Linked DNA regions of Notamacropus eugenii. The protein of the gene in region 1 interacts with the protein of each later gene in a pairwise test. Links are inferred from orthologs where the notes say so. Each region holds a gene or a part of one and is shown in the gene's direction. Other genes may lie near its edges.

Region 1 (9,403 bases):
TTCAAGTACTAGACAAATCTTCAACCCTCTTACCAGTAGTTATTAGTATTGTGACATATAGGATATGGGTACTGTACAGCGGAGGTATGAAACACAACAGCCAGATTAAAATGCAACCAGGAAATATTTAACAAAATAAATGAAAGTGCAATAGAATATAGATAATATTAATATGGAGTTTTCTAAGTCACTACACGGACAGTAGGAATCCTTCTGTTTAGTGACCCCTGTTTCTAGCTGAGTGTGACACCGTTGCTGTGCAGTGTGTCCTATACATAGTCTTTATTGATTTAGAGTTGGGAATAAACATTTATATAGCATCAGCTATGTGTGAAGCACTATCCTACGTGCTTTACATGTATTATCTTATTTGGTTCTTCCAACAATCTTGGGAGATACAGGTTATTATGGGTCCCCATTTAACAGTTGAGGAAACAGGCAGAAATGATGTGACTTGTCCAGGGTCACACAGGTAGTATCTGAGGTCACATTTGAACTCAGGTCTTCCTGATTCCAGGGTAAACACTTTATCCTCTGAGCCACTTAGCTGCCTCTGAGCTAGAAGAACACTTAGAGGCCATCAGAACCAGCACTTTTACAGGTAAGGAAACTGAGGCACAGAGAGGTTTTGTTTTGTTTTTTTCTTTTTGGGGTGTGTATGTGATCTCTGTGTGTGTGTGTGTGTGAGTGTATCCAGGATTATGAAACTAATATGTATCTGAGGATTCAGACTCAGGTTTTTCTGACTCCAAAGCCAGTTCTCTGTCTACTACATCATCTTTGGGATCTTTAAAGGCTCCATCCAGAGGGGGAGGAGGAAGCCACATTCTAAACCATTTGAAACAGGGAGTTATGGGGAACCATGGAAGGCGGTTTTGTGTTTAAAAGTTCCAGGGAGGTGGAGGCTACAGGCTGCAAATGAGAAAAAATGAAAAATTCCTTGGGTGGAGGCCAACCCTCCTCATGCTGACTCAGCTTGTTGAATCAAGGGAGGCCTTCCTTGCGTCTGGGGGTTGCAGGGTGTGGCCCAGCCCTAGGGAGGCCATGGGGATAACTCCTGTGTAGAGGGATGAGAAGAAATGCAGAATCACTGCCCTCAAAAAAACTGTCCCTTCTATATCCTAGACAGAGAGGTCCCTTGGCCCTAGCTGGCATCACCCAGCTCAGATAAACAACTGTTAGGTGTTAGCTTTCAGGTACCTGCCTCAGCTCTCATGGAGGCAAGGAGCTGGAATGGGCCTAACCAAGTATGATCAAGAGTGAATTAGAGTTGGAATGAAAGAATGTAGAACATGTAATAGTAACTAATCTCCAGTTAGTACTTTCAGGTTTGAAAAATTCTGTAAATATGTTACCTTCATGTGATCCTCAGGACAACTCTGCAAGGTAGGTGCTATTAGGATCCCCATGGTACAGATGGGAAAAACTGAGGAAGGGAGATTAAGTAACTTCCCCAGGGTTTTACAATTAGTAGTTGAAAGGAATCCAACAACATAGAACACTAGAGCTAGAAGGGCCCTTAGAAGACAGGATATCAGAGCTGGGAGGGCCCTTAGAACACATGATGTCAGAGCTGAGAGGGCCCTTAGGACACATGATGTCAGAGCTGAGAGGGCCCTTAGGACACATGATGTCAGAGCTGAGAGGGCCCTTAGGACACATGATGTCAGAGCTGGGAGGGCCCTTAGAACACATGATGTCAGAGCTGAGAGGGCCCTTAGGACACAGAATGTCAGAGCTGGGAGGGGTCTTGGGGAATTATCTAATCCAACTCATTTTATAGATGAAGAAAGTGATGTTGAGAGGAATCTATCCTTGCCCAAACTTGCACAATTTTTAGAGGTATTAGAGACAATAGAATCCTAGTCTCCTGTCTCTTAGTATATTTCTTTAACCATCAGAACACATTCTCTACAACAGAGCAATCCAGAAACTCTAATATTGCTGGACTCTACTAATTTTGTATTTACAAAAGCTATCAGAGACCTCCGAAGTCCTTTGGAACATTAAATTTACAGCCTAAATCTATTCACTAATCCAGTTTAGCTTAGAGACTCCTTACTAAGAATAACTTTTTTTCCTTTTTAAAGAATGTTTTCCCCTCAATTACATGAAAACCAATTTCTAACATTTGTTTTTTGTAATTTTTGAGTTCCAAATTCTCTCCCTCCCTTTCCTCCCCCACTCCTTGAGAAGTTAAATACTTTGCTATAGATTATACAAGAGCAGTCATGCAAAACATATTTCCAAGAATAAATTTTTCAAAAAGGGTTCTGGGACCAGCTCTGACTCTAGCTGTGTGACCTACAGCAAGTGTTTTCCCCTCTCTGGGTCTCAGTTTTCCCAGCTATAAAATGACAGGGTCATCTGGATGCTATGTAAAGGCCCCTCCCAGCTCTGACACTCTTGATTCTAAGGTCCCTCTAGCTAAGGTGTATGTTGTAGGGTATATGAGGAATCCCTTAAAAAACCTCCCAGAAGTAACAAGTAGACTTCCCCAGTTTGGGAAGAAGAGCCTGAGTGGAATGGAGGCCAGGAAGAAGGTAGAGCTGATGCAGTTTTAAGGGGTTCAGGGACCCCTCAAGGATGGACGTACTGGACAGGGTTCTCAGGAATGAATTTACAGACTCAAGCATTCTTTAAGTCAAAGTGGCAAAGGTTTATTTTAATTCCAATGTGGCAGACAGAGCTCCTTAAGGAACTTGAAACCTAACAGGAATGATACTAAATCTTATATAGGAAAAGTAGTGGATTATCTGGCAAATGTGCTAATTAGGTGATAATGTATAACCATGGTCACAGGTGTCATTCACTACTGGAAACTAGGGGGAGGGGTTTCTCAGGGGTGTATTTTTGGTCTTTGACTTTGAGTTGATATCTATAGCTTGACTTCTGGATTGAATATAACTTTGGGAATCAATACATGATAATTCTGTGGTCACAAGATAGTCCTATTTTTACAAGTGAATTTCTTCGGAGGTCAGCTTATTTTTGTGATGGGGAAAGAGAGTTTGTCTTACTGGGGCCCACTCGTGTAATTGCTAGGTATAGTGTCCTTGGGCTGGGCAGAAAACTGTCAGGGATAGTGTTTGGAAGCTAGGGAGAAATGCGATCTTGGAATTGGGGTCCAAGTACAAGCACCTACGCACCCCAGCAGAGCGTGGTGGTTGAGGAAGAACAGGACCTTTTCAGGCTAGGAGTCAGCTGGGGAGAGAGCAGAGGAGTCATTCAGACTCAGGCAGAGCGAAGGAAACAGCTGGGGAAAGGAGGAGCGTGTGGTGGAACCAATGGAAGGAGAAGCCCCAGGGCAGGGCATGAGGTGAAGGGTTAAGACTGAGTCTGAGCCAGTGGATGATTCACCTGGGTCACCTGGAAACCTAGCTACCTCCCTCACTTGCTAGGGGAGAAGCTGGGAAACTCATCCCTTATCTGGAGGGAGGGGCAGAGTTGGGCTTCATGAAAAGGGTAAGGGAGAAGACTCAGCTGTTTAGTATTATTTTGGGGGAAGTGGGCTCTCTGGGCTATAGTGCAGGTGCTCATGGCCGAGGCTGGCTGGGCCTGCTCCTTTCTCACTCACAGCTCCCCCAGCTTCTCCAGTCAGTTCTCTGCCAGAGTTCTCCTTCATGAGCCAGGTTCCATGTCTGACTCCTTCAGGAAGCCTGTTTAGAGATAAGAATGCCAGCTGTCACCTCCCACACCTGCTGTGGGGGTCAGTCTTAGGTTAAAAAAGAGCCCAGGCTTCTGCATTTCATGGGGTCTCAACCTCCAACAGACCTTTCTATTGGGTTCTATTCCTGGGTCCCTGCCCCAGATTGATCCCTCACCAGAGGGCTGGATTTTGAATCAAGAAGACCAGAACTCAAATTCAGTCTCTGGCCTCCGCCTCCGTTTCCTAATCTGTAAGGGGGGGGCTGGATTTGATGAAGGACCTCTTTGCCAGTCTGGTGGAAGCTATGGGCATCTCAGTAGAATAGGCAATGCTAGATTTCATTTAGAGATTAGCGAAAATAAAGATGCATGTTCTGGGACATCCAAGTTCCTGGACCCCCTGGAAGTGACCCAGGGTGCAGAGTCCCGGCCTTGGATGATGAAGCAGGTCCCTTTCAGATCTCTCAGCCTGGGGGCCCAGTCCTTGGCTCTAGGGTCCTGCAAGCCCAGAGAGAAAGCAGGTGGGCCTGGAGGGCGACCCTGTCCCACCTCCATTCGTGTGTGGCTCAGCTCCTGCGTGGCTGGAGTTCGGGGGACCCCGGCGTGGGCCGGCGGGAACCTCGAGGCACCAGAAAGGGGACTAGGCTGGGTGGCTAGCTCTCCTGCTCCGCCCCGCCCCGCTCGGGTGCTCGGAAAGCCAAGAGAACCCAGACGGTTCTAGGCGGCGCCTCCCAGGGTCTGGGGCAGAGTCCAGAGCCCAGAGTCCAGCCTGCCCCTTGCCACTCTTTGTCTCTGCGAGGGGGGCCGGGTCGGTGACGTTAGGTTATTTGCATCAGCTCCGCCTTCTCGTCTTCAGCCCCGCCCCTCCCCGGGGAGCCCTTGTAGGCTCCGGGGAGGGAAGGGCGGGACCTCATTTGCATCCTCCCGCCCCTCTCTTGGAGCGCGTGTGGGCGGGGCCCGAGGGGGTGTAGGGGGCGGGGCGGGCTCGGCGGGGCGGGGCCTGGAGGGGGCGGCGCGCCTCGCGGGCCCCAGCGGAAAAGTTTTTCCAAGCGGAGAGTTTTGGCGGCGGCGGCGGCGGCGGCCGGAGCCGGGCCATGGACGCGCTCAAGTCGGCGGGCCGGGCGCTCATCCGCAGCCCCAGCATTGCCAAACAGACGTGGGGAGGCAGCGGGCGGCACCGGAGTGAGTGTGCGCCCCTCGGCGCCCCCTTCCTCCCCTCCCCCATCCCGCCCCGCCCCGCTCCCGCGGGAGGCCTCCAGCCCGGAGTTCGGCAGAGTTTGGCCGGGCCGGGGAGGTCAGGGCCCGCCACGGCGCGGGGTTCAGCACCTGTTCGGGGGTGCACGTGTGCGCGTGTGAGTGTGCGCGCGTGGAGCCCTTCACTTTCGGGAGAGTACTTGACCCCCCCCACGCCCCCACCGGGCCCAGCCTTTCCCGATCCCGCAGCTTGGGGGGTCCTGGGGTACCCCCTTCCCACCCTCCGCCGACCCAGACTCGGGGGGCCCGTGGGGGGCAGCCCCTGGAGACCGGACCAGCGCCACCGAGCACTTTGTGGCAGTGTGATTGGGTGCCCCCCCCGGGCCTCAGTTTCTTTGCCTGCATGTTGGGGGCAGCGATACGTGGCCTCCCTGCCCGGCGCTCCGAGAGACCGGGGCTGGGAGCGGACTTGTGGTTTTATCCCCTTCCCCCGCCCAGTTTCTGCGGGGCGTGGGGAGGCCTTTGGGCTATTTTTAAAGCCTCTCGGTCTCTGCTTCCCACCCCCAGCCCCCGTCCCCGGGCTTCTGTCCCCACGAGCCCCGCTGGCGTCACACCTTTGTTGCAGCTGGCAGCAGCCGGCGCTGGTGTGCCCCCTGGGGCACCGGCCTTCTGAGGTGCCAAGGCTCAGCACCGCCCTGCTCCCAGCCTCCACCTGGCTCATTGGGCCACATCTGGGGGCCAAGGTGGGAGACGCTGCCTTCTCCGGGCATACCCAGTGTGTCGGGCTTGGTCAAGCCCTGGGGTCCAGGGAAGCCCCCACAACCACTGACCGATGAGGTTTTGCCTTTCCTGGAGAAGTTGGGAGGGGGGCAGCCCCAGGGACAGATGAGGAGAGGCCTGGCCAGCAGGCTAGGGTGGCCTTGGTAATCCTAGCCTCTCCCACACAACCCTGGGAGCCTAGAGAGAGATTAGGAGGCCAGGATCTTAAATCTGCTTGGGGCGGCAGGCTGATTGATCGGGTTGGGACTCTTGGACTATCCACCCTTTGACCTTACACCCCAAGAACTGCAGCGGCTGTTTGGCTTCCAGGCCAGGGCCCTTTAGGAGTGAGATTTACAAACAAACTTCTGAGAACTGGCAGAAAGCCGCTATTTGTATGTAGGCAGGGGTTGGTCTGCCAATGGGCAGTGCATGGTCCCCTGCTGGCTTTGGGGAGGGAACTAGATAGGAGAGTTGTGGGGGCTGGGACACAGAGAGAGGGTATCACTTTCTCTTGGTTTGTGTGTGTGTATGTGTATCTACACACGTGTAAGTATGTGGGGAAGTCAGTTTTCTAAATGGGAGAGGGGGACCAGATGTTGATACCTTAGTGAAGGGGGTCACAGGTAGCAAACTGTCAGAGAGGTCTGGATTTGGAGTTAGAGAAACCTGGGTTCAAGTCTCATGTGGCTTTGGATAAGTCAGTTTCCTTGTGTGAGAAATGAAAGAATTAGACTAGATGGTTTAAGAATCATTCTAGCTCAAAACCCTGTGATCCAATAAAGTATAGTGGAGGGTGTGTGTATGTGTATGTGTGTGGTCAGTTTTGGAGCTGGGGGCAATGAGCTCCTTCTCCCTGAGGGTGGGGGGGACAGACCTGTCTCTCCAAGGTCCTCTGAGTGTGTGTGGAGAGAAGCAGGAAGGCATGAAGGGGCCTCTGAGTATGACCCTCCTCCCGTGGGTCCATGACGGAGTCTACTTCCAGGGATTAAGCTTCTAAGGATTCTTTGTCCCAGGTTTTTGCCATTCTTGTCCGCTTCTCTCTGTAAATTCCCCTAACACATACCTCTCCTTCTTTTGGTATTTAGCAGATTCCAGGTACACAGTGCCCACTGGGTAAACACTGAATTAGTGATGTTCATTTGCTCTATCTCAATTATTTGTGTTCCTGGCTCTCTCTCTCTCTCTGTCTCTCTCTCTGTCTGTCTGTCTCTCTCTGTCTGTCTGTCTCTCTCTGTCTCTGTCTCTCTCTGTCTCTGTCTCTCTGTCTTTCTCTCTGTCTCTCTCTCTGTCTCTATCTCTCTCTGTCTGTCTCTCTGTCTCTCTCTTTCTCTCTCTTTCTGTCTCTCTCTCTCCCTCTCCCTCCCTCCCCCTCTCCCCTTCTCTCCCTCTCTCTCTTTTACTCTCTGTCTCTCCCTCTGTGTCTCTCTCTCTCTCTGTCTCTCTCTCTGTCTGTCTGTCTCTCTCTGTCTCTGTCTCTCTCTCTGTCTCTCTGTCTTTCTCTCTGTCTCTCTGTCTCTATCTCTCTTTCTCTGTCTGTCTCTGTCTCTCTGTCTCTCTCTCTCTCCCTCTCCCTCCCTCTCTCTCTTTTACTCTCTATCTCTCCCTCTGTGTCTCTCTCCCTCTCTCTGTCTCTCCCTCTCTCCCCATTCATCCCTCTTTCTATCTATACTTGTATCTTCCCCCTCTCTCCTTGTCTCTCTCTTGTCTCCTTCTGCCTCTCTTGCTCTCTCCCACTTCATTCTGGTGTCATAATATCACAGACTTAGAGAGTTGAAGAGACCTTTACAAAATCCTGGCCGGGGAAACTGAGGCCCAGGGAAGAAAAATGAGTTTCCTGAAGTCACCTTAGAAGGAGCCAGGCTCAGAACTTGGGTTTTTGGACTAGAGAAACAGCCTCCTCCCCTGGACCTACCCTGCTGTCCATCCATTTTTGGTAGTTCTTGAGCTCATGCTTTTCTTTAAATTGATGCGTTTTAAAACACTGTCACCCTTGTGACAAAGTACAGTTACCAAAGTGCTCCATTGACCTGTGGCTCTCAGACTTTCTACCAGACTAGGCACAAAAGTTGAGAATTCAGTAGACTGAAGTTGAGAATTGGAAGGGACACCAGTCTCCACTTAATCCAGTTTATACCTCCAAAGAAGCCCTTTCGATCACAGGCCTCTTCAGCAGGGAGCTCCATTGCCTCCTGAGGCAGCCTTTTCCACTCTGGGATGAGCTCTCCGTGTTAGGAAGAGGAGAGAGGCCCGTTTCCTCATCACACCTCTGAAGTCAGGCTTCCCATGTTCTTTCTTGATCAGACCTGTCTGCAGCATCTTTTCTGCCGCTACTTGTCCCTGGGTCTCCTTTGCTTGCACTGAGCCTTGAAGGAAACTAAATATTCTAAGCCTGGGAGAATGCATTCCAGGCAAAGCATGGAAATTGGAGAGAGATGTCATGTGGGGGGAGGAACAATTCAGCTTTAGAGAATGTGAAAGGGAGTAAGTAACATGAACTGTCTGCAGAGGTAGAAGAGGGAGCCAGATTGTGTAGGGTTTTAAATGCCATTCTAGGTTATCCTAGGGACAGTAGGGAGCCATTGATGGTTTTTGAAGGTAGTTGTGGTGATGTGACATGGCCAGAACTTGGATTCTGCGTGTACCTAGGACCGTAGAGGGGAAGTTCCTTAAGGAGAAAGACTGTTTTGGTTGAGACTTTGTTTTCCTGGCACAGAGCCTACAATATGGTAGATGCCCAATAAATACTTACTGAATTGTTATCCTGATTGTACCCATTGTCTGTTTAATCACTTGCTTCCTGGCCTGGGCCTTGGATCTCTGGTTAATTGCTTTGGCTCTTCTCATGGGCACTGGGGAAGAGACAACAGTGTCTATACCTGAGGAGGAGAGGAAATGATTGGGTTCAAAGGTTAGTCAATCAATACATGTTGTCACCTTCTATGTGCTAGGCATTATGCTAAACCTTGGGGATTAAAAAAAAAAAGAAGCAAAAGGCAGGCTTTATCTTCTGGAAACTCACAATCTAATGAAAAAAAAGAAAAGGAACCAACCGGTCATCTGATACTACAGAACTGAGACTGCCGCCTTGGTTCGTTCATTCAACAGACTTTTTGTAGAATTTAATGTAAAGTATTTTCCTCCTGGACCTGTAAGGTGGGGAGTATGAGTCTGACTGGGCCCATTCTATAGATGAAGACCCTGAGGTGCAGAAGGTGCTTGGACCTGGAGCCAGTAAGTGTTCTAGACTGGACTCTAGTCTAGGTCAGCTAACCTATAAGGCCATAGATTCAGAGCTGAGTGATACCTTAGGGATCATCTTGCCTAATCATCTTGTTTGACAGATGAGGAAACTGAGGCTCAGATATAAAGTAACAGACTAAGTAGCAGGGTTTGGGTTCTCTTCCCTGCCTCCCATCTCTCTGTGGTTGTGTTTTAATTGTCACCTGCCCATGATGAGTTCCATAGGTGTCTGCTGTATGTTTGTGTAAGGCCCTGGGAGGTGAGGGTTGGGCCGAAGGGAAGTGGTTGCTAAGTTTTATCCTACTTCTGTATGTCCCTATCCTTGGAGCTTGGAACTTCCAAAAAGCTCTAGTTTAAAAGACTGGTTGTATGTGGTTGTTCTCATGTTGTTTCCACCATTAGACTGGGAGCTCCTTGGGGGCAGGGACTTTTTTTTTTTTTTTTGCCTTTCTTTGTATCTTCAGCACTCGGCCCGCTTTGTGGCATGCAGTAAAAGCTTAATAAATGCTTGTTGGCTGACTGAGGATGATGCGGGAAGAGTTCAACGTACCAGTGGAAT
Region 2 (9,835 bases), on another chromosome or scaffold:
TTGTATGTATGTGCTATGATCTTGCTAATGTTGTGTTTAAAACTTACATGATAAACATACTCACGTTTGGGTAACAACATTGACAACTGAAGTTTGAAATGGTCATACTCAATGCCTTTGCATCCTCCTTAGGTGCTATTATCAATCAACAAGTATTTTGCCTACTTTTTAACAAGTGTGCTGCTAGGGACTGGGGATACAGGTGCAAAGAAAGAAACAATCCCTACTCAAAAGGAGCTGAATTCCCACTTAGAAAAGTTGGAGGGAAGTGGGGGGGGGGGGGGGGAGGGTGTGGAGCAGGAGTTGAGCTAAGGTACGGTATTTATTTAAAATAGTGTAAAGTGGCATCTTAGTACAGTTTACTTTTTCTCATTCCAGAGGTGTCACAAACATAAGATCCATGATGCTCCCAGTGAAGCCCAACCAGAATAAAATGTAATTGGGAAAGAATTCACAAAATAAATAAAAATATGACATTTTGAAAGTAAGCCAGGTTCTGATTAGTGGGCCCCCCCACCCCCTTTCTGAGTTTGATGCCATTACCTTACACCTTCCCCCCCTTTCCCATTTCCAACACACTAAAGGTGGCAATACTAAAACTAATCTCTGTTCCATTCTTTTATCTCTTACTTTGGTCCTCCATGTAGCATAGAAAAGTTTAGGAAATATTTGTCCATATTTATTCATCAGCAAGTATGTTTTTCAAAATGTGTTGCCAAAAGTTCCATCCTTGGTCCAATTTTTCTTTCATTCTCTACATGAATGAAATATGTTAAATGCATTCTGTGAGTCAGACATGGTGCTAGTCACTGAGTATAAGTAAAAGCCCAATTTCCATTCCTTTTTAGGAGGGGGGCAGGGTGAGCTAAGGTAGTAACATATATGAAAGTTTTCTTAAAAAGTGTAAAGCGGCATGTTAGAATTAAATAATCTCCCTTGACAATTTCATTTACTCCCAGTGTCTGAACAATGGCTTACTATGTGCCAGGCACTTTGCTCAGTGCTGAAAAAAGAATGAAACAAATCCCATGGCATTAACATTAATTGGGGAAAAAATATGTACATATAAAACATAAAAAGAATAAATAGAGTCTTGTTAGGGCAAGAGGGCACCAGTGGGAGGGTCAGGAAAGGTTGCTGCTAGGTGGTGTTTCAGTTACTTGAATAAGAGGGGTTCTGAGTCAGGTGAGAAAGGAATGCACTTCAGGTATGGGGGACAGGTAATGCAAGACAGAGAAGTTGGAGTACCATATGTGAGAAATAGAATGCCAGTTTGGTTGGACTCTAAAATGCAGGAAGGGAAGTAATGCGGATAGACTGGAGGTGATTGTGAAGGGCTTTAAAAACCAAAGAAAAATATCGTTTTTGCCAAAGGCAACCGATACTAGAGTTTGAGTAAGATGGCTGATGTGGTACAGGCAGTGTTTAAGTGCTTACTGTGGCCCTGCACCGTGCTAAGGCAAAAAGAAAAAAAAACAGTCCCAGCTCAAAAAGAACTCATAATCTAAGGGAAAGAGACAACATACAAACAACTGTACAAATAAGATGTGTGTGTATATACATGTACTTACACATGTACACTTACATATATATGAAGTAAATTGGAGATAAACAGGAGGTGCTAATAATTTTAAAGGAGAATAGGAAAATCTTCCTGTAGAAGATGAGATTTTAACTGGCACTTGGAAAAAGTCAAGAAGGGCAAATGATAAAGAGGAGGGAGAATGTTCCAGGCATGGAAACAAGAAATGTCTGGCGTCAGGAGGTCTTGTTTAAGGAATGCTATGGAGCCCAGTATCACTGGATCACAAAGTATTATAGGGGGCAGGGGGAATGAGGCATAATAATATTGGAATTGTAGGAAGAGGCCATATTATAGAGGAATCTTTGCCAGAATTTTATGTTTGATCCTAGAGTTGATTGTAATCACTGGAGTTTATTGAATAGGGGGTGACACGGGCAGACCTAGGCTTTAGGAAGATCAGTTGAGAGCCAAATGGAGATTAAACTGGAGTGGAGAAATTTGAGGCAGGAAGACCAAGGTGGAGGCTATTGCTATCACTTCCATAGATGAGGTGATGAGTGCCTGTACTGGGAATGGTGGCAGTGACAGAAGAGAGAATGGTGTGTATAAGATACTGACAACATAATCAAGATGATTTGATTGCATGTGAGGAGTAAGAAAATGGGGTTGAGGTTGACACCTCAATCCTGGGTGACTGGGAGTTTTGTGGATCATGGAGGAATGGGTTTAGATAAATTAGCAACATCTCCTTAGGAGTTAACTTTAGGATGGAGACTTCAAGACATTATGCAGCATGTGTAGCTAGAAAGAGGGCATGGGGGTGGGTGGGAAAAAGTACCCAGGCCCAGACAGATAACTGTTGAAAGAAGATGGATAAAAGGGAAATTTCCTTTTTTTCAAGTAAGCCCCAGGTAGTGGACTGGTGGTAGCAGCATGGCAGAATAGGCCACAGGCCCAATCAGAGAGCAGCAATAGTCCCCAAGCAGGTGACAATAATCCACCTCTCTATGAAGAATCATGTAATTTGGACTCCACATTAGTCATTGCATTGCTACCAAATTGTTTTCACGTTATCTTCATGGTTGCTGGATGGTTATTGTGTATATTTTCCTGGTTTTGCTTTCTCCACTCAGTATCAGTCTATGCAAGTCTTCACATGTATCTCTAAATTCCTATGAATCATTTCTTATGATTCAGTAGTACGCTGTTATATTCCTGTGACACACTGATTGTTTGGCCATTCTCCATTTGATAGGCCTCTACTGGTTTCCAGGTTTTTTGCTACTACAAAAAGTTACTGCTATGAATATTCTCATGGGCTTTTGTTTTTGCTGCTGACCTCCTTGGGTTATATCCCCAGTGTTATGATCTGTGTATGAATCAAAGGACATGAATAGTTTAGTAACTTGAGTAATTACAAAAGAGTTTTAGGGGCCATCTCCAGTCATCCTGATCTTTATCAGGCCACTGGACCCAGATGACTGGAGGAAAAAGTGAGGCTGGTGACTTTGCACAGCCTTCCCTTACTTAAATCCAATTTACTTGCAAGTCATGGCATCATTTTCCTGATGTCATGTTCCTTTTCAGGAATGAAGGACAAACCACAACCACAACAAAGAGTTTTCAAGAAGAGTAATTTACAGTTCTACCATCTGTACATTATTGTGCCTGGTTTCTCACTGCCTTTACAAAGCTGATATTTGTCTTTGCAAACTTGATGAGTATGAGGTGAAGCCTCAGCCTTTTTATTTGCATTTCTTTTATTAGACTTGGAATATTTTTTCCTTAAGTGGTTAGTTTGTAATTATTTTGAAAACTTATTTTGTACGTTGTGTTCTCCTAGCCTCATTTGATTATAAAATCTCACGCTAATTATAGATTTGAAAGGTGCCTCCTGCCAGTCTCTCATTTTCTCTTGGTGACCTCATCAGCTTCCATAGGTTTAATTATGACCTCAATTCAGATGACTCCTAAATCTACACATCCAACCCTAGTTTCCTGAACTCCAATCTTGCATTGCTAACTGCCTATCAAATCTATATTTCTTTTAATTTACTTTGTGTAGTCCAGGGGTGGCGAACCTGTGGCCTTAGGGCCACAAAATAAAAGGGTTTTTTCTATAAAATTTGGATTCGATCAAAAGACTACACTTAAGGATTTTGAAGGTCGCATGTGGCCTTAAGGCTGTAGGTTCCCCACCCCTGTTGTAGTCATTGAATATGTTTTCTTGACTGCTTACATCACTTTGCATCAAATCTTGTAAATCTTTTCCATGGTTTTCTGTATTCATTACATTCATCATTTCTTACAAGCACAGTATAATATTCTGTTCCATTCATATATCACATTTTGTTTAGCCAATCTCCAGTCAGTGGAAATCTGTTTTGTTTCTCATTCTTTGCTAACACAAAAAGGGCTGCTGATAATATTTTGGTGTGTAGGGGGATGTTCTTATCCTATAACCTCACTGGGTATACAAGCCTAGTAGAGGAGTCTCTTGGTCAAAGTCTATGGACATTTTAATCACTTTATTTGCATAATTTATCTTCTTTTGCCTTGGTAACCAGTTGTTACCAAGTCCTATGATTTCTCATTCAACCTTTCTCAAATTCATTCTCACTTCTACCAGTCTAGTATAGGTCCCCATTTTAGCAGACCTTAGCCTCTTTAATCCCTCCTTACCCTGGCAGGTCATCCTGATGAGTATCAGGCCACTGGACCTAGATGGCTCAGGAGAAGAAAGTGAGGTTGGTGACCTTGCACAGCCCTCCCTCACTCAAAGCAAAGTCAGCTGCAAGTCATGCCCTCATCTTGATGTCATGGTCCTCATCTTGATGTCATGGTCCTCATCTTGATGTCATGGTCCTCATCAAGAAGGAAGGACAAACACAACATTTTAACTAGATGCCCTATAGGTATTTCAAACTCAATTTACCCAAGCCAGAATTTATGTTCTAGAAAAATCTACACTTGTAGCCTTCCTGGATGGATGCCTTCATCTTGGTTTGAAACTTTGGAGTCATCCTGCACTCTTTCTTCTTCAGCCCATTGATCTAAGAGTTTCCAGCTCTTAGGAATTTTATGATTAAATCTCCAAAATCTCTCTTAAATCTGCCCTATCTCTTGACTCACATGACCACTCTCCCAGTTCAAGCATTTGTCACCTCTTACAGTGGCCTTAGCATTGGACCCTCCTTTGTCTGATTTCTTCCCTCCATTTTTTAAATCAATCTTCCAAACAGCTTTTCTAAGACATGAGTCTGACCAAGTCCTTGGCTGAATGACGTCACCGCTGGAGTCCAGTTAGAGGCTGGCTGATGGGACCATGAGAGCTTGGGTGGGCGCGAACATCTGGGGTGGATTCTCTGAACGTGACTCTCTGCCCCTTCTCTGGGCTAGGTCCGCTCCGCTTTGCCCGCAGAGCCCAGCCCCTTCCCCGATGTGGGCACGCCATGCGGGGCGGTCCGTGCCGTGTCTCCCGTGTCACACCATCCCGGACCTCCCCAGTAACCTCGAGGAGCTGCGGACTGCCTCCGGGATCAGATGCGCTCTCCATCATTCCCTCCTAGGCCACCCCGACTGTGTGCACCCCTCTGCACCTAACATGGCTGGACCGTAACCCCAAGTACCGCGGCCGCTCCTCATTCCGGCCAGCCCCGCCCCCTCCCTCTGCCCGTCATGGATTCTGTTCTCTGGGGAGTCTGATCCAGAGGCAGAGATTGGGGAGAACGTTTCTAAGGTGACCGGGAGAGAGTCGCACTTCGCCGGAAGTGCTCCGAAAAGACCTCAGGCCAAGCGGCTTCTTGAAGCAGCAGTGCGCATGCTCCCCTTCCTCTCCTTCACGACTTCGGCTCCCCCTAGCGAGGACGTGTCAGCGCACCCGCAGGCGGTTGCCTGGGAGACGTTCGTTTCCCCTTTCTCCAGAGGGGGAGCAGGGGCTTCCGGGAGGTGGGGCGGGACTTCCGGCCGGTGAATGACTGGCAGAGCAGAGCGGCTGCGGCGGCCTCGGGGAAGCGGGGGAGCTGGGCGCACCTAGCCGAGAAGCAGCGGAGCCAGGCCCGGCCGGGAAGGCAGCAGGCCGCGCTGGCGGCGGCAGCGGTAGCCACGATGATGGAGATCCAGATGGACGAGGGCGGCGGGGTGGTGGTGTACCAGGACGACTACTGCTCGGGCTCGGTGATGTCGGAGCGGGTGTCGGGCCTGGCGGGCTCCATCTACCGCGAGTTCGAGCGGCTCATCAGCTGCTACGACGAGGAGGTGGTGAAGGAGCTGATGCCGCTGGTGGTGAACGTGCTGGAGAACCTGGACTCGGTGCTCAGCGAGAACCAGGAGCACGAGGTGGAGCTCGAGCTGCTGCGCGAGGACAACGAGCAGCTGCTCACCCAGTACGAGCGGGAGAAGGCGCTGCGCAAGCAGGCCGAGGAGGTAGGCAGCGAGCCGCGGGCGAGCCCGGGGCCGAGCGGAGCGGGAGGGGCCTGCTCCCCCTCCTTCCCTCCACCCTATTTCATTTCCAGGAACTCGGCTCACCCCCGCCTCCTCCCCCCCGAGCCCCCAAACTCGGCCTCAGGGAGCTTCTGCAGCCTTTCCCTTCTCCCCTGCGGCCACACCCACGGAGGGAAAGGGAGAGGCATCCCTTCTTTGGGTGTCCCTGGCCGAAAGCTCCCTGTGAGAAGCCCGAGGTCACCCTGCTGTCCCCAGCACTTAGCCCAGCCCCACGAGGAATGCCCAAGGTCACACACGTCTTGGTGGCAGCTGCCGGTTGGGCCGCGATCCCTAAATAGAGCCCCCATCCTTGAAGGCCCGGCGTCTTTTCTCAGCCGTCAATCCTGACTTCACATCGGGTTTTGTTTGTTGAGACTGTGTTGCCCAAGCCTGATTACTTCCCTAGACCAGCCTCTACCCGCTGCAGTCAGCCTAAACAGACCCTCTTTGCAGTAGGAAGCCGTCGTTGGGAAGGGCTTTTTCCCTTGTGCCCTCCTGTCCAAGACTTTTATGGTTTTGGGCAGAAGAATCAGTTAAATTGCTTCTAACACGTAATGAGAGCCAAAAGCTCCAAAGCTTCTGTCTCATCTGTTAGGTAAAACTGCTCTTGGTTTCTGTGTGATTGAGGTTACTGCTGAGTTCATCATGCCTTGTTGGTAACTCTTTTGCCCTTTAAGTCACTACATTGGTCAGATTGGGTGCATTTATAGAAAATCCTGGAAAATTCCTGTGTGGTTTTGGAGGGGGCAGAAATAGGATTTTTCTGATCAGGAAATATTTTTGCTCTATAACCTGGAAAACTGCATGTGAACCAATTTAAACAGACATCTAGGCATTTGGAAGAAAGCGATGTATTATTAGAATGCCACTACTCTTGCCCTGCATAGATACATAGTGTATATATATATATACACATAACCCAGCTTGTATGTACATAAATACATAGGTGTTACAGACAAAAGTAAGGTTCTTTATCAAAATAGGAAGCTTCTAAACTCCTTTATGATAAATTTTGTTATCCATGTTCTTATTTGTCCACATGGTGATCCTGATTTAAAGCAGAAATAAGAGAAAGAACTTACAAATTTTTTAAACCATAGCTAGGATGTATTCTTAGTGAGATTCAAGGAATGTTTTGACACACTAAAACCATAAAACAACCCTCTGAATGAACTTAATGTTTACCATAGTGATAGTGATAGGTTTTTTCATCCTTCTGTCAAGCAAGTGTTCTTTAGTTGATGGTGATATCCACCATATTTCTCTAAAATTGATACTAATACTCAGACCTAATGACAATATCTGATAAAGCATCAAACTCATTCTTTACAGGTAGAATACTAAAGATTATACATACATCATAAAATGTTAGAACTGAAAGGGACCTCAGATCGTTTGATCCATTGCCTTCATTTTACAGAGGGGGAATGGAAGACCTGAAAAGTTTATATAACCCACCCAAGGTTGTCACTAGATAGTGGCTAAGCCAGAACTAGAACCATAGCCTTCTGACTCCAGATCCAGGCTGCTTCTCTTATATCACACTACCTCTAGTCAAAATAAGAGTTGTCTTTGAACACAACAAACTTCTGGTCCTGTGTTAGAGTAACTCACTGTTGTACCAAAATCTTATGTTTGTTTCTCTTACCTCCATGATTTTTAAATCTGGTACCCTCAGTATTTCACCCCCACCCCATCTTAGAGAAGAGAAGAAATTATTCCTTTAAGATAAAATTCAAGAAATTTCCTGACTTAAGAGGAGAATAAGTAATCTTACTATGCTATGTTATATAGCATACTATGCTCAGTACTTTATATTTTATCTCATTTGATCCTCACAATAATTCTGTGAAGTAAGAGCTAATATCTTCATTTTATAATTGAGAAAACTGAGGCAGATATAGGTTAAGTCATTTGCCCAGGGTCACACAGATCACAAGTATATGAGGCTGGATTTGAATTTAGGTCTTCCTGACTCCAGGCCCAGTGCTTAATTACCATGGACCTACCTCATGAATTAACATTTTATTGTCAAACTTTCCAATAAATAGACTGGGCAATCTTCCACAATATATGTAATTTTGGGGGGAGTAAGGGGTGGAGTCAAGAACTTAAAAACTCTTTTCTCTAAATCTTTAACTCTTTTACAACCTAAGGAGGGTTGGGACCCTAAAAGGTCAAGTGACTTGCCTGAGGTTGAAGAGCCACTTAATAGAACATCTTGGCTTGGAGTCAGAGAGATCTGAGTTCAAATGTAGCCTCAGACACACAGTTAAGTAAGTGTCATTTAGTCTCTTTCCTTCTCTATTTCTTCATTTGTAAAAAAAAAAAAAAAAGGAGGATAATAATAGCACCTAGTCCCCAAGGGTAGTTGTGGCCATATTTATAAAAAATTTTACAAACCTTAAAGTAATATATGGGGGGTGTGCGCGCATGCGCACATATGTGTATGTATGTGTGTGTGTGTGTATATATATGCATGTGTATATATATATGCATATATATATGCGTGTGTGTGTACTGAAAAATGATGATGATGTGTCAGAGTGCAGATTTATAAATCAGAGCCCAGCCTTGAAACCACTATACCTAGTTACTTTTCTTGCAAGTTACATGCAAACAAACTCAATTCTTTGTTCTTATGATCATTCCCAGATTGTTGTACATGTGTAAATGTGGTCTCTGGGAAAATTCTAGTAGGGACCGACTATCTTCTTGGCTAAAGATTATCAACCAGCTTCTTGTGGAGAAAGATTTGAAGGGGGAATTTTATTGCTACCTCTTCCAACTCATAGAATCTCTAAACCAGTGCTGTAGGTACCTTCCCCCAGCTACAGTACTCAAGAAGGCTTAGTCAGAGGTGGGTAACTTGAGCTGCCTGGGTGTTCCTGAGCTGGGAAGATCTTTCAGTTTTTCAGAGCTAAGCCTTGGACAATACAAGCAAATAGCGCTATTTTCTACCTTCCACCTTTAGTAAGTATAGCCAAAGGAATTCGGAGATCTGCCATCTAAGGGACAGGTCAGTAGGAAATATGTGGCATTTAGGTGGAATCGTTTGTATTGTTTGTTTTTATTCCTCTAAACTGAGAAATGATAACTGAACAAAGGCTTACAAGTTTAAATTGACTTTGTATGAGCTTTGAAAGACATTCAGTGCTTCTATGGTAAAAACAATAATTTCACAACTTTTTGAGCACATCCTTAAATTAAGCATTTTAAAATTGGCTGTTTTGGGATGAAAACATTGGGATGAAGGGACTAGAGTTTTTGCCATTTGTCTCTTCAAATTAGCACACTGTAGTTTTGCCACAATCATCAAGGGTACAGAAAAGTGAATTTCTTTAGAAAACTAAAACAGAAAAGGCCCTAAATCATTAGCGCATAGACAAGACCTTTTTTTTCTGAAAATATAGCCTTTTTTTATTAAGGTAGTCACATGAATTCTTGTACTCACTCATTCAAGTATTTTACTACTCTTATACTAAGGAAGCTTGCCTATCATATGGAATCCTTCCTGGTTAAATTTCAGTTCACTGAGTAGTTGATGATTAGAGTCTCCATATGAACGATTCAATTTATACACACTAAAAAAATGATACAAACAATGATAACATTTTCATAGAGCCTATACCGCCCTTTCAAAGCTTAGATTATACATATTGCAGATTATTTGAACATTTTTTCGTGCAGCAGCCACTATTATCAGTGTATATAATATTGATATACATAATCTGCTCCATCTCTAACAAGAGGCGAAGACCTAAGATGTCTGAAACCTGTATATTTTAGAATCAGTCATTTGAAACCTGCTTTGGTCATTGTATTTTT
Region 3 (10,466 bases), on another chromosome or scaffold:
CTGCATCTGTTATGAATTCTTTTTCGATTTCTTAAGTATTCTAATTTTGTTTTCTCCTTTTATGTACCAAAGTAGCTACAACTTCAGTTATTTATTGGTTACTTTTGTTAATTTCACAGTTGTATTGATGGGGCGGCTTTTGTTTTCAATTTTGTTTAGATCTTCTTTAATTTTCAAATTTATACTTACGTGTTTATTGTTTTTGCAGTATATTTAGCAGCATTCTAATTTCTTGAGATGTCATTTTTCTCTTATATTGATAAAAGTGTGTGGAGATAAAACTCTTCCAATAAAAACTGCTGGGAAAACTGGAAAGCAATCTGGTAGACATTAGATATCCACAATATTTCTCACTGTATACCACGGCAAGCTGGATATTTGATTTAGACATGAAAGATGACATCATAAACAAATTGTAGAAACTAGGTGGCCTAGTGAATAGAGCCCTGGGTCTGGAGTTAGGAAGACCTGAGTTCAAATATGGCCTCAGACACTTCCTAGCTGTGTGACCTTGGAGTGTCACTTAACCTCTGTTCACCACGGTTTCCTCAGTTGTAAGATGTAAAAATGCTTATTACTTGTATGTACTGGGCACATAGTAGGTCCTTATCCTCATTTCCTCCCAATGGTGGTTACCATGGTGGGATGGGGGTGGGGTGAGGGGTGGGGGTAGTGGAGGGGGTGGTGGTGGTGGTGGAGAGCGGGATATTGGTGTAGGGCAAAGTCTTATTTGCCCTGTCCTAGTTACAGCCTAAGAGTCAGTTCGCATTCATAATAGGTGTCGTATGGTGCTGAATGCATTATAAAAACACTAAGTGTATCTTATCAAGAGACTGGTGAGAAAAGGAATTCCATGTTACCAAAAAGCTAATTTAGATATTTTTGGCATAAAATTCAGCTCTCACCAAAAAAGTGAAGTGACTCTCTTAGCTGGGTTAACTTTAGCAAATTTCAACTCAGGCTTTGAAGGGATTTCAGAGAAGCAATGAAATCAATTTCCACCAGGGGGCAGGCTTTCCTTGAAGAACAGTTTCACAAATCCTGGATTTATATTTACCACTCAGAAAGGATCCTACATCAAAGGTTTTTAATCTTACAGCTTCATGAGACTTTTGGAGTGTGACGAAGCCTCTGGACTCCTTCTCAAATGGAATAATAACATTAAAAACATAAAATAAAATGCAAACAATAACATAAGAATCCAATTACAGTGAATAGTCATCAATGTATATATTTTTAAAGACAAATTCATGGACCAATTCTATTTGGGGTTACCTATAAGTATACATATATACATATATATACACATACATATATATGTATATGCATACACATATGTATATATGTATATGTGTGTGCATGTATGTGTATAAGTATACACTCCTATATATTATGTGTATATTTATATATGGGTTTAGATATATGTATCTCTCTATATGCATATGTATGCACATGTGTGTGTACAAAAATGGGTTTACATGGGTATGGGAGTGTGTGTACATACATACACACAGCTGCCTTTGAGATGCTCACATGACATGACATGTACACAGACAGATATAATTCCAGATAGAATGGACAGGGACAAAGGAGAAATAGGGGCAAAGTGTTTTGAGAAAATTTGAGAAGATCACTTTCAGCTGTGGGGATCACTGCGTGGGAAGACCAGTAGAGAAGCTGGCTTAGCTGAGTGCAACCCCTCCCCTCAGGGAGTTCATAATTGAGGGAGAGGAGGGATAAGACTCAGGCATACGTAATTAGAACTCAGAGTGATCATGGAAAATAGAATACAATAAATAAGTGAATATAGAAGGTACGAATACAACCTGAGAAAGGAAAAGTTATTTCCAATCAGAAAAGATGAAATCAGGAAGACTCCATAAAGAAGGCAGCATTGGAACTGGGTCTTGAAGGACTTAGAGGATTTCAACAGGTAGAATTAATTTAGGGGAGGAGATAGGAAAGGGGAATTCTAGGTGCACTGAAGCATTAAAAGATGATTCAAAGTGCAAGGTAGTAGTGATAAGCTCCAAATCACTGATAAGCACAATAAATGCCTCAGGCCATGGGAACTGGGTCTTGCAGGATAATGTGATTAACTAATAACTCACTCAGTAGTGAGTATTTGCAATGTGGATTTAGCTTGAATAATAATCTTACTGTTGTATATTATTGTGTTACATATAATTACATCATATTAAATTATATTGAACTGAATTGTATTGCATTATATTATATTATGTTACATTGCTATGTTACATTGTTACATTGTTACATTATGTTACCTGATCTTACCTGATGTTATGTTATATTGTTATGTTATATTATATTATATCTCAGTATAGAAAAGATAATGTAGTTCACTGCGATGTTAGAAGTTATGGAGGAAAAGCAAAGAAAAGGAATCTGAAAGGATGTGGGTGAAATGTGAGTCAGGAAACCCAGCATATTTCCAGAAGAGAGTCTAAGGTCTGAAGTGTAATCAAGGTCTAAGAAGATACCTAGACAGGCCTGGAGGATCATAGAAGCACCAATGTAAGGCTAGAAGGTACCTCTGAATCTGTCTCATCCATCTCCTCATTTAACAGATATAGAAGGTGAGGTCCAAGGGTGTTACTTGACTTTTTCAAAGTCACATTGGCCATAAGTGACAGTAGATGGCTCCTCTGTATGTGTATGTGTGTATACATACATACATATGTGTATTTATATGTAAAATATGTATATATACATGCACACCCATATCCATATATGGCACAGCATTATTCTGTTTAAAGGAAAAGCTGACTGAATCACAGAGAGATCTAGATAGTAAAGCCATAATTATTGCAAAGCCCATTTCAAATCTAGACAAATCTAACAAAACAAAGAAATTAATATCCTAAACAGATTTCTAGAAAATTAGATAGATACTTTGGTGATTCCTGTATGGGAACCATATAGAGCCAATCTATTTTTCAACTTTCTATGGTACCTTTATTTAAAAAAAATTATATAAAGAAAGGAGAAAAGAACTCACAAATAAATACATAAAGATAGAAATTGTAAATATCTCTTTATAGACTATAGTGCAATAAAAATTTCAGTCAATAAGAGAAATTTGAAGAAAGAGTTCAGATTTAAGTGACTACTAAACTAACATTGTGGATTCAGATGGCTCTGGAGGAGAAGTGAGGCTGGTGACCTGCACAGCCCTCCCTCACTCAAAAAACAAAAAGTCAAGTGCGAGTCATGTCATTATTTCTCTGATGGCATAGTCTTCTTCAGCAATGAAGGACGAACGCATTATACGTGTTCTATCCTCTTGGGACAATGTAAGCCCCTGCTAGGCAGGGTTTGCTTCATTTATGTCTTTATATTACCAAGGACTAACACAGTGCCCTGCAGTCAGTTAGTAAACATTTATTAAGCCCCTAGGGGGAGCTGAGTGGTACAGCGGACAACCCTGGAGTCCGGAGGACCTAAATTCAAATCTGCCTTTAGACACATATCAGTTGTGTGACCCTGGACAAGTCACTCAAACCTGTTTGCCTCCATTTCCTCATCTGTAAAATGAGATGGAGAGGGAAATGATAAACCAGTCCAGTGTCTTTGTCAAGAAAACCCCAAAATAGGGTCATGGAGGGTCAGACGTAACTGAAATGACCCAACAACACGCACTTAATGCAACATTATGTATAAGGCACTGAGCTAAGGACTGAAGATACAAAGAAAGGCAAAAGGCAGTCCTTTGCACATAGTAGGTACTTAAGAAATGTTTGTTAAATTGTTACAGTAGAAAAATTATTCTGAAATGGAAAGAAAGGAAGATAATAAGAGCTAACACATCTATAGCACTTTAAGGGTTGGAAAGCACTTAATACATATCTCATTTGATCCTCACTACCACTCTGGCAGATCAGTACTATCATTATGCCCATTTCAGAGATGAGGACACCAAGGCAGACAGCACTTAAGTGACTTACCCAGGGCCATATTTCTGTGGTCTGAGGCAGGATTGGAACTCAGGTCTTCCTGGCTCCAAGTCACACATTTAATCCGCTGCACCACCTAGCTGCCCTCAACAAGAGAGTTTGTATCTGACTCAGTTTCCTCAGTATAAAAGTATAGAGTCAGAGTTTTATTGCTGGAAGGGATCTTAGAGATTGTCTAGTCATGGAGTTCTTAACTTGTACCATGGGCTGCTCTGGCAGTCTGGAGAAGTCAATGCCTTCTCAGCATAAATGACATTTCTTAGCTGCATAAAATAAAATACAGAGGATTATAAAGGAAATGAATTATGCTGAAACATAGTTATCAAAAGATTTTTTAAAAAATAAAACAAACCCACAGATCCTGGATTAAGACTCTTTGCTCTAGAGAGCTTCAGCTTAACACACAGCTTCGAAAAAACAGTTTAAATCGGAACAATGTTATATAATTCCCTGGGCCTAGCCCAGTCCCTCACTCTGCCCACCCAGCGGAGTCTCATCCCTGCCTACACATATATTCCTTTTCCAACTTCTTGTCGGTGATCCCCATCTGCATATCCCAGAGACATCTCAAACGCAGCATGTCCAAAACTCAATCTGCAATCTAGGAAAGGAACGTTTAAAGGAAGAGAGGAGTGAAGTTGTGTGCTTTCAGGCACAAAGCTAGTTAGAAGCAGAGGGTCAGAATTAAAAGCCAACTCTCCTGACTCCTATTCTGGGTCTCATTCCACTTTCACCAACTGCCTCCCTAAGTTATTTGCCAGAATCTGGACGTTCAGTAGGCCAGGGGATGAAAGACCTTGAAGAAGGTTGAAAATAACTGCTATATTAAATAACAATACTTACACTTATACAGCACCTACTATGTGCCAGGCATCTTCCTAATCGCTTTACAAATATTCTCTCATTTGATGCTCACAGCAACCTTGGTTTGCTATAACCTATAACCGTGTTGTTATAACTATCCCCATTTTACAGATTAGGAAACTGAGGCAGGCAATGGTTAAGGGACTTGCCCAGGGTCTCACAGCTAGAAACTCTAGAGCTGGAAGGGATTTCAGAGGCCATTCCCCTAGCCCAAACGCTTCATTTCACATATGAAGAAACAGGGCCCAGGGAGATTGCATGCATGGCCTGACCCATTACATGAATGACTTAGGTCACAGGTATCTGAGCAGGCTTTGAACTCAGTTCCTTAACCTGGAGAGAGTGATCTCTCTGCTGGGCTAGGCTGCCGTTCCATGCTAAGCAGCAGGGAGGTCATAGATTAGGAGTTGAGAATGAGATCAGAGGTCATCCTGTCCACTCCCTTCATTTTATAGACAAGGAAATTGGAAGCCCAGAACCTTTATGGAATCATAAGATCATAGAGCCAGAAGGGATTTTAGAGACAGTGTAGTCTAGTTCCGCATTTTACAAAAGAGGAAACTGAGGCAAGTAGCGATCTAAGTGACTTGCCCAAGGTCACACAGCTAGTAAGTGTCTGAAACCAGATGCAGTCATCTTTTTACTGTTCCAACAGAATATATGTATAGCGATCCAGGCCAGAGACTTTTAGGTCCCTTTTGGTCAGGTACTAAACGGAAGTGAGGGAGGTGGGGAAGGGGAAGGGGTCCACAGCCCCAGTCCTGAGCTCGACCTCCAGGAAGGCGTGCCTGGGGCTACGGGCACTGCCCTGGCTGGCCGTGACCCGAGCAGTCCTCTTTCGAGAGGAGCGGCTTGGCACGGCGCGAAGGGCACGCCCCAACCCCAGCCCCATGCCCCCGGGAGGATGACGGCAGCTGTCTAACCGGTCGGACGAGCTTCAGCTGTGCTCCCCTCTCCTGCGGCTCCTGCCGGTTCTGTCTTGCATTCGGTATGCTGGAAAGCAGTCTCCTGGGAGCCCTGGAGAGTTCTGTGGGCAGAGGCCTGGCTGAGACCCCTCCCTAAGCCCGAAGCTCTGCCCCCCTCCCTGGCCCAGAGCTGGGCGTGGAGCCATGGGGGAGCAGCTGGGCTGGTACCTGGAGAGAGTAGGAGCCTCCAGCAGAGGCCAGGAGGAAATGGGTAAGGGGACTGTAACCTGCCCCGCTGAGGTCCCTGGGAGGGCAGCGGAGGGGAGGAGAGGAAGAGAGGACTACCATGGAGGGAGACAGGAGAGGGCTGAGCCGAGAGAAGGGCCCCCTCTGCGCCCCGGTCTCCTCCCAGCCTCATGCCACGCTCAGGAAATGAATGGAAGAATCTGGCCCGGCTGTTTGCCGGGAGATGGGGGCGGGGTGGGGGAGTCACGCTGGAACGAGGTCAGCTTCAGGAACTCCAGAGGACTGGGGTGAGGACGCTGGAGTAGGGCTGGGAGAGAGGAGGGCGAGCGGGCAGCAGCGGGAGCTCTCCAGCAAGCACCCAGACGGGCAGTGGTAATGAGCTGTCACTCCGAGCAGGGGCTTCTGGCTCTGCCTGCTTTGGGAGATCTAGGTCCAACGCAACGAGGATTAACAAGGGGATCGGGTAACTCCTCAGCGTCACCTTGTTGGTGCTGAAGAGACTTGGCCTCAGGTCTCCTGCCCCTGCATATTGGGTTAAGTGACTTGTCCAAGGTGACATGTGTCGGAAGTCTGTGTGGTTTCCCTGTGCATTTTGTGGAGGATTCAAATCGAGAGGCGGAAGAAGGTGGGAAAGGGCAAGAGGAGAAATTTAGCTGAAGTTACTGAATATCAAAAGGAAGGACCACGTGCAGGTATCTTGAGCCTTAAAACTACTACTTAATGTCATTTCACTTTGTTTAGGGGAAAGGGAATAAGCATTTAAATAGCACCTACTGTGTGCGTACACTGTGCCAAGTGCTTTCCAATATTATCCCATTTGATCCTCACAGCAATCCTGGGAGATAGGTACTGTTATTATCCTTATTTTATAGTTTAGGAAACTAAGGTAGATGAGATTAAATGGCTTACCCAGTGTCACACAGCCCTTAAGTGTCTGAATACGGATTTGAACTCAGGTCTTCCCGACTCCAGCTCCAGCACTCTATGGATTGGTTCATACTTTCCTCTCTCAATACCTACAATGCAATCAAACTTCTAGAAAGAGCATTACATTATAGAAAGTTGGTTTTGGAATCAGAAGACCAGTGCTAAGTCCCAAATCCACCACTTAGCAGCTGTATGACCTTAGACAAGTCACTGGAACTCATTTTTTTCTTGTTCTTACCTAGGATATGTCAAATAAGATCTTGTCATACCCTTACAGCACTGTATACATACAATGATTACTAACAGCACAAACAATATCAATCATGAGCTAATGCTCTCCTCTTTGCTGGGGTAGCACCTGAATTCCAGAGACAGAAAAAAAAGAATAAGTTAAGGAATTGGGAAGCAATCTCTGGAAAGAAAGATTCTCATATGCACCACATCTTCTTCACTTGGATTTCTGCTTTCTAATTTTTTAAATCTTGGCCTAGTGGGCAACACTGACATTTCTAGGAAAGCAAGTGCTTTGTTTTAATTGAAATCATATTGAAGGGTGCTCCCAACTCTAAAATTTAAGCCAGGTGACACAGTGGATAGGAAACAGGAATTGGAGTCAGAAAGAGTGAGGTTCCCATCAGAAATTTACTAGCTGTGTGACCCTGAGCAAGTCACTTAACCTTAAACTGTCTCAGCTGCTGTTTAATGGGGATCATAATAGCAGTTGTTGTGAGAATAAAATGAGATCTAATTTGTAAAGCTCTTTGCAAACCTTAAAGCACTTAGTGCTAGCTATTGTGACAATGGTGATGATTCTTAAGGTTCCTCGTCTTTTTGGTGATGAAGCAAAATTAGGATCATAAATTTGGAGCTCCTAGAGATATCAGCGGTCATCTCATCCCAATCCCTCTTTTTGTTTGTTCAGTCGTTTGCAATCATGATCCCATTTGGGGTTTTCTCGGGAGAGACACTGGAGAGGTTTGCCATTTTCTTCTCCAGCTTATTTGACAAAAGAGGAAACAGATATGATCAGGGTTAAGTGACTTACCAAGGGTCACACAGCTAGGAAGTATCTGAGGCCAGATTTGAACCTGGGGAGATGAGTCTTCCTGACTGCAGGCCTGGCATTCTATTCACTGTACCACCTAGCTGCCCTTTTTACAGAGAAGTAAATGAAGTTGAAGAAGTTGAGGGATTTATCCAATTTCCAGCAGGTACAAAATGTCAGAGGCAGGACCTGAATGAGGAGTCCATACCCTTTCCAGTCCCCAGCTCCAGAATCCTGGGGATCCTGTGATTCTTGGTGTACATGGTAGGATACATAGGCTTTGAGTGGTTTTTCCAGTTTGGGGAATGGAATGGTACTGTATTCTCTCTACATTCTCTCTGTTCTTTCATCCAGTTCCTCTTGTGACCAAAGGCATGTGTGGTCATGACAACTGGCTAAGGTGAGGAACTAAGCACATGGTGGTGAGACAGAGGACAACTGAGTGGCCCACCCAGGGATCAGGCCTGTGACCTTGACCTCATTAACCCACTGCTTGAATCAGTTGAGCAAGCTAGCCCAGAACTGATTGAATGTAACATATGATTAATTGAATGTCTTTGGGGTCCCATGATACTGTGGACGTAGTTAAGAACATTTCAAGGATATGGCCTCAGCCCCTGTCATAATGTACCAGGGCAGGGTTAGGCCAACCAGGTTCATTCATTTGCTCAACAGAGATAGAATTAATTTTGTGCAAGATGCTGAGGGAGGATACTGCAAAGGCATGGTCCTTCCCTTTGTGGAACTGACAGTCCAGGAAATAGGAAGCATTTATTCAAAAAACTTTCTCATAAGTTTTTGGAACTCTAGAGCTAGAAAGGGATCTCAGAGCATTTCAGGACCCCTTTACTCTCTTAAATATTATTGAGGACCACCCAAAGAGCTTTTGTTTATGTGGGGTTTGTTGTTGTTCAGTCATCTCAGCCGTGTTTGCTTCTTTGTGATCCTATTTTGGGTTTGGTTTTTATTTTTTGACAAGGATACAAGGAGTGTTTGTCATTTCCTTCTCCAGTTCATGTTACAGATGGGGAAACTGAGGCAAACAGGGTGAAGTGACTTGCCTAGGGTCATACAACTAGTAAGTGTCTGAGGCTAGATTTGAACTTAGAAAGATGTCTTCCTCATTCTAAGCCCAGTGCTCTATGGGCTATGGCTCCACCCAATTGCCCTTTTTATGTGGTTTATATCCATCAGTATTGAGAAATTAAAATATCTTAATATTATTATAAAAATAGTTTTGACAGTGAACCCTGAAAAGGTCTCTTCCACAGACCATCATCTGAGAATCACTGTCTTAGCGATTAGAGAGTTGAAGAATTTCAGATTTGGAAGGAAACTCAGCAGCCATATACTCTAAGCCAGATCCAAAAAGGAATTCGCATGACAATTCCCTGAGTAAACGATCATCGAGTCTCTGCTGGAACACCTCTGATAAGGAGAATCCACAGCTTTCCTAGAGGCCCAGCTGGCTTTTGGACATCTTTAATTAATGCAAAGTGTTTCCCATTCTAACCTGGTCCTTTGTCACGTTTACACACTTCTCCTCATTCTGCCCAATGGGAAAGTTCTTTCTCTCTATAAAACATCCTTTCAAATACTGGATCATGCTTCCCAGAGTTCTCTCTTCTCCAGGGTAAATGTCTCCAGTTCAACTCACCCTACACGGCATAAACTTGAGGCGCTTCACCATCCTGAATCCCTTCCTCCCCACCTTCTCTAGCTTATCATCATTCTTCCTAAAATGTGAAGTCCATAACAGGACACAATATTCCAACATGATCTATCCAGCATGGTGCAGAAGAACTCTCACTTCCATATTGCTGCATATGTTGTCCAAGGCTGATGTAGCTTTTGTGGTTGCCACATTACACTGCCAACTTATTTCACTTGCTGTTCACTAAGACCCCCAGATCTTTTTCAGATGAACTTCTGTCTAACCATGCCTACTCCATCTTGTACTTTTAAAGTCGTATTCTCAAAAACCAAAAGGAAGACTTTAATTCACCCATAATGAATTTCATCTTACTAGAGTCTTCCCAGCTTTCTAACCTGTTGAAATCTTTTCTGGACCCTGACTTTGTCATTCAGGGTTAGCTATCCTTCCAGCTTTCTGTCATTCTCATGTAGCACTGGCAGCTAGGTGATGCCACAATGCACAGAGCACTAGGCTTGAAATCAGGAAGATTCTTCTTCATGAGTTCAAATCCAGCCTCAGACACTTACTAGTTGTGTGCTCCTGGATATGTCACTTCCCTCTGTTTGCCTGAATTCTTCATCTGTAAAATGAGCTGGAGAAGGAAATGTTAAACCACTCCAGTCTCTTTGCTAAGAAAACCTCAGATGAGGTCATGAAAAGTCAGACACAACTGAAAAATATCTTAACAGCATATGGCATTCCCTTTTGGTTACTTCACGAACATTCACTCACAGGTCTCCAGGGTGGCACCTAACACACAGGTACAAGGAACGCTGTGGATCCATACTGTTGAAACTATAGCTCCCTCC

What was found.
Region 2: the proteins of LDLRAP1 (region 1) and MAPK8IP3 interact in binary tests that used the Homo sapiens proteins (3 or more experiments, as listed by UniProt). The two-hybrid records come from large-scale screens. The link is inferred for Notamacropus eugenii from reciprocal best matches to the Homo sapiens genes LDLRAP1 and MAPK8IP3.
Region 3: the proteins of LDLRAP1 (region 1) and PSD4 interact in binary tests that used the Homo sapiens proteins (3 or more experiments, as listed by UniProt). The two-hybrid records come from large-scale screens. The link is inferred for Notamacropus eugenii from reciprocal best matches to the Homo sapiens genes LDLRAP1 and PSD4.

The regions. Positions count from the first base shown.
Region 1 is NC_092876.1:66,149,151-66,158,553, forward strand, and holds the start of LDLRAP1 (low density lipoprotein receptor adapter protein 1), read left to right. Parts: upstream 1-4,644; 5' UTR 4,645-4,742; coding exon 4,743-4,830; intron 4,831-9,403. UniProt on the Homo sapiens protein: Adapter protein (clathrin-associated sorting protein (CLASP)) required for efficient endocytosis of the LDL receptor (LDLR) in polarized cells such as hepatocytes and lymphocytes, but not in non-polarized cells (fibroblasts).
Region 2 is NC_092872.1:48,925,460-48,935,294, reverse strand, and holds the start of MAPK8IP3 (C-Jun-amino-terminal kinase-interacting protein 3), read left to right. Parts: upstream 1-5,481; 5' UTR 5,482-5,632; coding exon 5,633-5,950; intron 5,951-9,835.
Region 3 is NC_092872.1:717,851,483-717,861,948, forward strand, and holds the start of PSD4 (PH and SEC7 domain-containing protein 4), read left to right. Parts: upstream 1-5,767; 5' UTR 5,768-6,014; intron 6,015-6,316; exon of another isoform or gene 6,317-6,681; intron 6,682-10,466. UniProt on the Homo sapiens protein: Guanine nucleotide exchange factor for ARF6 and ARL14/ARF7. Through ARL14 activation, controls the movement of MHC class II-containing vesicles along the actin cytoskeleton in dendritic cells. Involved in membrane recycling.